2 linked regions of the Canis lupus familiaris genome follow. The protein of the gene in region 1 interacts with the protein of each later gene in a pairwise test. Links are inferred from orthologs where the notes say so. Each region holds a gene or a part of one and is shown in the gene's direction. Other genes may lie near its edges. The genes, in order: CPSF7 and SNRNP25.

Region 1 (3,805 bases):
TCAGGAAGTAGAATCCTTTTTTATTCAGTATCGGAACAGCCCAATAATGCTTTGTGTGCATGTTCTTCTATTGTACTTCAGATAAACTGAGAAACTAAAAGATTGTTTCCAGAAGTATGTGATGGTATGTAGATCTAGGAATGAATTTTGTAGTGAGTTCCCTCTCTAGTCTCACCTTAGAATCTGCAGTTCTTGAACAAAGAAAGCTATTAGAGCTTCCTGTCCTGAGTTGCATTAGAGGAAGTGCTCTGTTTCTTCAGGGAACTAGAAAAGTTACTTAACATAGGTTCTTCCTTTATTTTTTTAAAAGCAATGTCATGAATGAGCTGTAGTTTCCCTAAAACACTTTGAACTTCTTTCTGTCATTTTGGCAGCATCATCTTTAGCACTGTTAGGGTGTTCTAGAATGTTATCTGAAAAAATACTTTCTGATCCTTAACATAAAAAAGAGCTCTCTGAAATAACTGACATTGCAAATCTGAAACATTAAGGTCTCCTGGTGGTTTTCGTGGTTTTAAGATTCGAGGTATATAGTGTTAACTTGACTCCTATAACAAAATACCAAAAACTGAGTGGCTTATAAACAACAGCAGATTTCTCACGGTTCTGGAGATGATTAGAAGGCTGAAGTCAGATTGGCTTCTGGTGAGGGCCCTTTTCTAGGTTGCAGAATGCCAGTTTGTATCCTCATGGGATGCAGAGCAGAGCATGCAGTCAGTCACTCTCTTGGCTCTTATATGGGCACTAATCCTGTTCAGTAGGGTTCCATCCTTAAAGCCTGGTCTAATTGTAATTTCTTCCCAAAGACCCCACCTCCTGATACAGCACAGTGGAGAGTAGGGTTTCAACATCTGCATTTTGGGGGGGGACAAACATTTATTCCATAACAATAATAAATGTGGAAACATAACACATGATAAAAGTATATTTTGCATTGTGTTTCGGAGTACATGTTCATGTTGTAAATGCTTACTGTGACATAGGTTATGATGTGGGTGCCTGTCCTGTTTTCTGACCCTTAATATTTTGAGAGAACTTCACTGTTTTTGTGGTATCATTAAACATCTCTGGCATTGCTCCCAGAAATCTCTTATAAAAGTGTCACAATCATGTATTGGATTTACATTGTCACCTAAAAAATATTAAGGGAAAATCTCCCAGAGTTATTCCTTTCCTTTCCTTTCCTTTCTTTTAAAAATGTTTCTTTGGAACGCCTAGGTGGCTCAGCAGCATTTGCCTTTGGCTTAGGGCATGATCCTGGGGTTCCAGGATCGAGTCTCCTATCGGGCTCCTTGCATGGAGCCTGCTTCTCCCTCTGGCTATGTCTCTGCCTCTCTCTATGTCTCTCATGAATAAATAAATTAAAATCTTTATAAATAACAAAAATAAAAATGTTTCTTCGATGGATACTTCATAGAAAGATAGGATTGCATACTATGAGTTTTAGAGCTTCTCTGAATCATTAGTGTAAATATAAAAGTGTAAACCAGTAATTTCAGTTATTTCTTGCATTCTGGGTTCCCACTTGAATATGCCTTTCCCTTTTATTTTTAAATGAATATACTCTTTACTCTTTTTCTTATTAAATAGAGTAAGAAGATTTGTGTAACTCGTGATTTTGGAAATAGTACAAGTTGTGGAAAATAAGTTTTTCATTACTGTATCTTAGATGTGGTCTTTAGAAGCTAACCTCATTGACAATAGTAGCAGGTGCATCTTTATGTGTTCTTAGTTTGCTTTTGTAATCATCATGTACCTTTTGATTCTCACAGTTGGCTGAAGCTGGAAGCATTGCAGACTTCTAAGAGGGTCTTGAGAGAAAAAGCTACAGAAGCATAATTCAGTGAAGTGGTTTTACGTGAAAAAGTATTCTTACCAGGAAATTATTCTTACTAGCTTCCTAGGGTACGACAGGAAAGTTTTGTACATTTTACGAAATATTTGAGTGTGGATTCTAAGTAAACGGGAATGATATAGAATGAACCCATTGGGAGGTCTGCAAACCCACCTTTGCCAACCCTTCATCTCTTAGGACCCAGAGTTCAACAATACAGATCAGATTGACCTGTATGATGACGTGTTGACAGCCACTTCACAGCCCTCAGATGACAGAAGCAGCAGCACTGAGCCACCTCCTCCTGTACGCCAAGAGCCATCTCCCAAGCCCAATAACAAGAGCCCTGCGATCCTGTACACGTACAGCGGCCTCCGCAATAGGCGAGCTGCTGTATACGTGGGCAGCTTCTCCTGGGTGAGCATGGGGAACCAAAAAGCTTCCTGGGTAGGCTGGAGGGAGAGTGCTGGGAGGTGATGGCATTTTCAAAAACCACTGTTGCACTGTTTTGTGCTCTGATGGGGTTGGATTTCTTTTTCCTGGGATCAGGTTGGATTGATCTCTGAAAGAGAACTATCCTGAGGACGTACTGGTGCCGAAGAAAGCAATGATTAAGTGGGTAGTTGCTTTTTCTGCCATCTTGTTAATGCCCCTGACCCTGGGGCTTTATGTCTAGCAGGGTCATCTGTGGGATGAGATTTCAGAGTGAACAGCTTGAACTCTTGGTGGGGTCATTCATTGGTTCTTTGATAACGATTGGTGACAGGATCAAAGACCTTGATAGTTCTAGTACACTCAGGGTAGGTGGTGATTCTTATGCAAAAATTCTTGTGTGATAGACATGTTGTGGGGCTGGTAGAGGGAGGGTCCAAATTAGGAAATGCATACTGAGGGGGACGTTCCTGACATTGGTTAAACTGTAGCCTGTCAGGTCTGTAATTAAAAGCTGCTAGTAATCATTGTTTGAACTGATGACCAGCCAGCCCAAATGGCAGTCAAAGTTAAAATAGGTTTTAATTTTCTTAATCTCAAGAGATGGGGTTTGGGGAATGGTGGGAGGTTTTGGAATGCTGGATGGGTGAGGATAATAAAAGCCTGCAATAATTGAAATGTTGGTGGGCTCTTGGGTTTCTGTGGGAGGTCATGATTGTGACTAGAATCCTAGGTTTGGGGAAAGGGTTTGGGACATTCTAGGTGGGGAGGGGGTGTAGCTCTTGACATTTCTTCCTTTTCCATCTTGCCGGCCCCAGTGGACCACAGACCAGCAGCTGATCCAGGTTATTCGCTCTATAGGAGTCTATGATGTGGTGGAGTTGAAATTTGCTGAGAATCGAGCAAATGGCCAGTCCAAAGGGTGAGGTCTGGATTTGAGAAGCCCCTTTTAGTTTGTCATCATTAGGATAAAGATCTACACTGTATTTTGGCCCTGGATTTTAATCCCTCTGACCCCTGGCCCAGGTTATTGCCTTGGTTTTGACAGACTGCCTTAGAATGGGGACCTTGCTGCAATGTAACAATGTCCATCCGTTGAGGGGCAAAAAGAGCTGATTTCTGATCCAAATAAATAGGACAATTATAGACTGACGCCTTTTTATTGATGGTAGTTTTGTGTATGTTATTAGCAAGATATCTTTTATTTTACCAGCTTTCACTAAAAGTGGAAGAGTTTCTTTGTTCTTTTGATTGGCTAATAGATCTCACTCATTTTTAATTTTTCTTCTTCAAGGTATGCTGAGGTGGTGGTAGCCTCTGAAAACTCTGTCCACAAATTGTTGGAACTCTTGCCAGGAAAGGTTCTTAATGGAGAAAAAGTGGACGTGAGGCCGGCCACCCGGCAGAACCTGTCACAGTTTGAGGCACAGGCTCGGAAACGTGAGTGCGTCCGAGTCCCAAGAGGGGGTACGTGGAGACCATCTGTATGAAGGGGGGCAAATTTGTGGGTTTGTTTTCTGTGGTGTGGGCTCTGCCTAC
Region 2 (4,461 bases), on another chromosome or scaffold:
CTTCCTTAGGCTCCGACTTTCATTACTGCCATCGGTTGCTCCCCGCACAGCCGCCACTTGAGGACCACGCTAGAGGCCAAGTGCTGCGGGGCTCCCTTCACGCTCTCACAACGGAGGGAGGCCACCAAGGTCATGCGATGTTAAGAGGCTGTGGCTTTGAGACTAACCCACACCTGTACGTCTCTGGGGTTTATGCCAATATTGCCTGTGTAAGAAATAAATCACTAAAGAAGAAAATACACACGCTATTTTTAGGAGCTTCCTTCCTCAAAGGCAGCGCGGCCTCAGCTCTCACCTGCGGTGGAGTCCACGTTCTCCCAGGCCGCCGCGCCGCCGAGCACATCGTCCACTTCTTTCAGCTTCGGGTACTTCCGGTTGGTGACCTGGCGAAAGGCGGCAGGTGTTCAGGCCGCGGGTAGGGGCGCGGTGCTGACCCGGCCGCCGACTGCCCTCCTCCCCGCGGGCTGCACGATCCTGGGCAGCCGCGTCTCTACACCCGCGGCGCAGGGCTCGGCCCGGGTCCAGGGGCTCCAGCGTCGGGCCGGCCCAAGAGGCGGATGCAGCCGGGACCCCCCACCCCACCCCGTCCACGCTCGGCCCGGGCCCTCCGCGCAGGCCCCCGGCTCCGTCCCGGGCGTCGCGGCGGCGGCCCCAACTCCCGCGGGCAGCTCGGGGCGGGCGGTGCGCCGCGGCTCCGTCCAGGGCCCGGGTTGGGGCCGCAGCACCGACCCCAGGCACGCAAGTCCCGTAGAGGCGTGTCCGCAGGTGACCCGAGTCCGCCAGAGCCACGCTGCTCGGCACGACCCAAACACGGCGAGGCTGCGGGCGGGGCGGGGAGGGCAGCGGGAGCACGTGCAAAGGCCCGGCGGCCGTGTCGGTGCGCGGCGCGGGCTGCTCCCCGGGGGCTGGCGGCGTCGGCCCGGACCCGCAGTCAGCCGCGCCAGCGCACAGGGCGGGCCTGATCCGGCCACGGCTCCGACGAGGCCGCCCGGGCCGCCGCCGGGGACGCCGCCACGGGAGCCGGGTGAGGCCAGGCCGCTCCCGATACGGCGGGGGGCGGGGGCGGGGCCGCTGGAGCACCCCGGCGGGGCGGGCGTCGGCTGCTGGGCGGGGGGCGGCGGGTGATCACCTTGCGCGTGATGTTGTGCACGTAGGGGCAGGTGTTGCAGGCGAAGCGGTGGCAGCGCTGTCCCTCCTCCACGATCAGCCCGTTCCCGCAGCCCGGACAGAAGAGCAGCATGGCTGCCCCGCGCGCTCCCGGCAGCCCCTGCGGCCGCGGGGCGCCGGCGTCGGGCCCGTCGCGAGCTCCCATTGGCCCGGGCCGCCGCCGCCCCAATGGCCGGGCCGGGTTGGCGCTCCCAGCAGCCCCTGCGGCAGGCCGCCTCGAGCCTCCCATCGGTCCCCGTGGCAGCCCCGCCCCTCGCGGCCGGAAGCGGCGGCGGCGCGGTCGGAGCGCGGGGCTGGGCGGGCGCCCTGGAGCCGGCGGAGGCCGAGGCCGAGGCGGAGGCGGCGGCGGCGCGGCCCGAGGCGCCCGAGGCCGAGGAGGATGAAGAGGAGGCGCTGCCGCACTCCGAGGCGGTGGACGTGTTCCAGGAGGGGCTCGCCATGGTGGTGCAGGACCCGCTGCTCTGCGACCTCCCGATCCAGGTGCGCGGCGGGACCTCGGTGCCTGACCTCCCCCTGTGGGCGCCAGAGGTGACGATGCGGCGGGCCTCGATTCTCCCGTGTCCTTTAAGGACCTCACTGACCCGAGCACGAGCGGGGGCAGCAGGGGACAGGGACAGGCGGACGGTCGTCCGGTCCCAAGGCGGACCCCGACGGCGCCCCGGGCGCCCCGGGCGCGGCTGCGCTGCAGGTGCAGGTTCTAAGGTCGTTTCCGTAGTTGAGGCTCAAGTGGGGAGAACGGCTCCACCCCGGGACTCCGCATCGAGATTCGCGCCCCGCCCGAGGACGTTCACTCCTGGGTTGGGCGCCCCGGTCACCCTCGCACACCGGCCTCCCCTCCCCCCCCCGCCCGGTGTCGCCCTGGATCCCGGACTGACCGCGCCTCCTCCTTCCCAGCCCCAGAGCCCAGATCTGGCGCTCACCCTCTCCTGTTTCAGCGCTCCTCTTTTCCTGAGCTTTAATGCACTTTGCACATTAAACACTTTTAAAATGTAGGTGCAACCGGGAAACCCTAGCATAGAAGTAAGAAATCTTGTCTCTCGTCTTTCGTAAGATACGGCACTGCTTTTCCGATGCTATCCGCTTGTCTTGTCTTGTGGTTTGGGATAGCAAAGGCAGCCAAGGCTCCCACCTCCACCATTGGTCTTTCTGCAGGTTACTTTGGAAGAAGTCAATTCCCAGATAGCACTAGAATATGGCCAAGCGATGACAGTCCGCGTGTGCAAGATGGATGGAGAGATAATGCGTAAGTGCTCGCCCTCTCCCTGCGGACCCTGCAGTCCAAGCTGTCACGCAGACAAGACGCTGCCATGGCTGCTCAGGGGAAACTCAAGAGCCATGTACGTCGAAGGGCATCGGGGCAACCACAAGCCTACCCCACCTGAATTTGAGCCTCCGTCCAAAACAGTCTGGACAGAGCTTCTGGTTCCTTTCCTGCCGTCCTAGGCTGTGGCTGTGGATCCTAACATGGCTCTTCTCCCGCAGCTGTGGTTGTGGTGCAGAACGCCACAGTCCTGGACCTGAAGAAGGCCATTCAGAGATACGTGCAGCTCAGGCAGGAGCGTGAAGGGGGCATTCAGCACATCAGCTGGTAAGTGGAGCCACTGTTGCATGTGTGCCACAGAGCACCGAGGAGTTCCCTGTCCTGAGCGTCCCGGCGCGGTGGGTGCCACGGTGCCTGGGAGTCCTGCCTCAGTTCTCTTTCATCTACATCACCTCACCCAGGCAACTGGGCTTCTTAAATGGGGGCACCTTGGAGCATTTCCAGCGTAAGTGGTCTCCTTGGTTACAGACGGTGCAGCTGCCAGCGGCCCTACCCCATCTTCCCCTGGGTGGTCTCCTCACTCCTGCAGCATGGGTCGTCTCTGTCTCCGTGCTGTAGCCTATTTCATTAGGAAGGTGTGTTTGGCCCCCAGCCACCCCACACGGCTCTTTCAGAGCGGTGCCTCTTTCGAGCTACCTCGGGCCTGGTGTGTACAGGGTACAGGACAAGCCAAGAAGAGGCTGCCTGCCCTGGGCCCCCCAGAGCTGAGCATCCCGAGCCCATCTCACACACAGCTGCTGCGTCCCAGCTGCCCAATCACCCTGCTTGTGGTTTACCCAGATCCTCATCTGGATTTTGCAGGTCCTATGTGTGGAGGACCTACTACCTGACCTCTGCAGGAGAGAAGCTCACAGAGGACAGGAAGAAGCTTCGAGAGTAAGTTCACACCACATTTTGAGCTGCAGAGAGGCACCTGGTCTGTTGCCCTTTAGTACCCAGGCTCTGCCAGAAGACTGGGGCCTCTTCCGAGGGAGGAGGAGTCTTAAATCAATCACTGGAGAATTTGCAAGACCAAGAGAGTCCCTGGCTCAACCAACACCCTCCTGCAGGGAGGTTCCTGAGGGCTCTCCCTACTGGAATGGGAGGCATGGGGGCAGTGTGAGTACTGCTCACCAGTGGTAGAGCGGGGCTTCCTAGAGCCAGAGGAGGGCAGTGTGTGGGAAGGTGAGAGGCTGCCTGCTGGCACGACCTAGGTCCGTGAGACGATGGCCACTGCCACTCCTCACCTTCCCAGACACAAGCTGTTCCTACCTTTTTTTTTTTTTTTTTTAATACCCTCCCAAGTCTCAGGTGAGGCTCCACACATACCTTCTGCAAATCACACACTAGAGCTCTTCTTCTTTTCTAGTTACGGTATCCGGAACCGGGATGAGGTGTCCTTCATCAAAAAGCTGAGGCAGAAATGAACCTCCAGAAAGACAATTAGGTGCTGGTGGCCTGCACCCAGCTGGAACAGAGCTAAGCCCTAGGTCCAAACATCCTAATCACATGGCAGATGGACCTGGCCCTGTATACAAAATAAATCGTTTGCTTCTTAGTTTGAAAAGTCAAAAAGCCACAGTTCCTGGAGCAGGAGGGACCGCTGCTGCCCAGGCACAGAGGGGAGGCAAGGGCAGAGGATGGTGCAGGTGAGTCCTAAGGTCCAGAATGCTTCCACTTGAGCCCTGTGGCCAAATCATCCCCTCGCGATAAAACCTTTTTACTGTGATTTCTACAGCAAGGGGAAATAAAAGCAGATGGCCGGCTTTCTGTGTGTGCTTCTGCAGAAACGGGGGCCGTGCACCCACCAGCATGTGGCTGAGGTCTCCAGCCGTGGCTCACAGGGTTCACCTATAGTGACACACTTCACCCTTTGGCTCCTGGAAAGGGAGGTGGCCTGGGGCAGAACTTGGAGCTGCTGGCTGGAGAGGGAGGGCTGGGGTCAGAGTGCCTCTCCGTGTGCCAGGCGGCAGGGGTGGGGGTTGGGGGCGGAA

The links.
Region 2: the proteins of CPSF7 (region 1) and SNRNP25 interact in binary tests that used the Homo sapiens proteins (3 or more experiments, as listed by UniProt). The two-hybrid records come from large-scale screens. The link is inferred for Canis lupus familiaris from reciprocal best matches to the Homo sapiens genes CPSF7 and SNRNP25.

What each region holds. Positions count from the first base shown.
Region 1 is NC_049239.1:55,601,113-55,604,917, forward strand, and holds part of CPSF7 (cleavage and polyadenylation specificity factor subunit 7), read left to right. Parts: intron 1-2,032; coding exon 2,033-2,251; intron 2,252-3,084; coding exon 3,085-3,188; intron 3,189-3,422; exon of another isoform or gene 3,423-3,560; coding exon 3,561-3,733; exon of another isoform or gene 3,734-3,805.
Region 2 is NC_049227.1:40,884,541-40,889,001, reverse strand, and holds SNRNP25 (U11/U12 small nuclear ribonucleoprotein 25 kDa protein), read left to right. Parts: upstream 1-1,438; 5' UTR 1,439-1,605; coding exon 1,606-1,647; intron 1,648-2,319; coding exon 2,320-2,410; coding exon of another isoform or gene 2,411-2,504; intron 2,505-2,610; coding exon of another isoform or gene 2,611-2,649; coding exon 2,650-2,755; intron 2,756-3,289; coding exon 3,290-3,364; intron 3,365-3,836; coding exon 3,837-3,894; 3' UTR 3,895-4,233; downstream 4,234-4,461. Other genes in the region: POLR3K (DNA-directed RNA polymerase III subunit RPC10), read right to left, coding at 296-383, 1,130-1,240.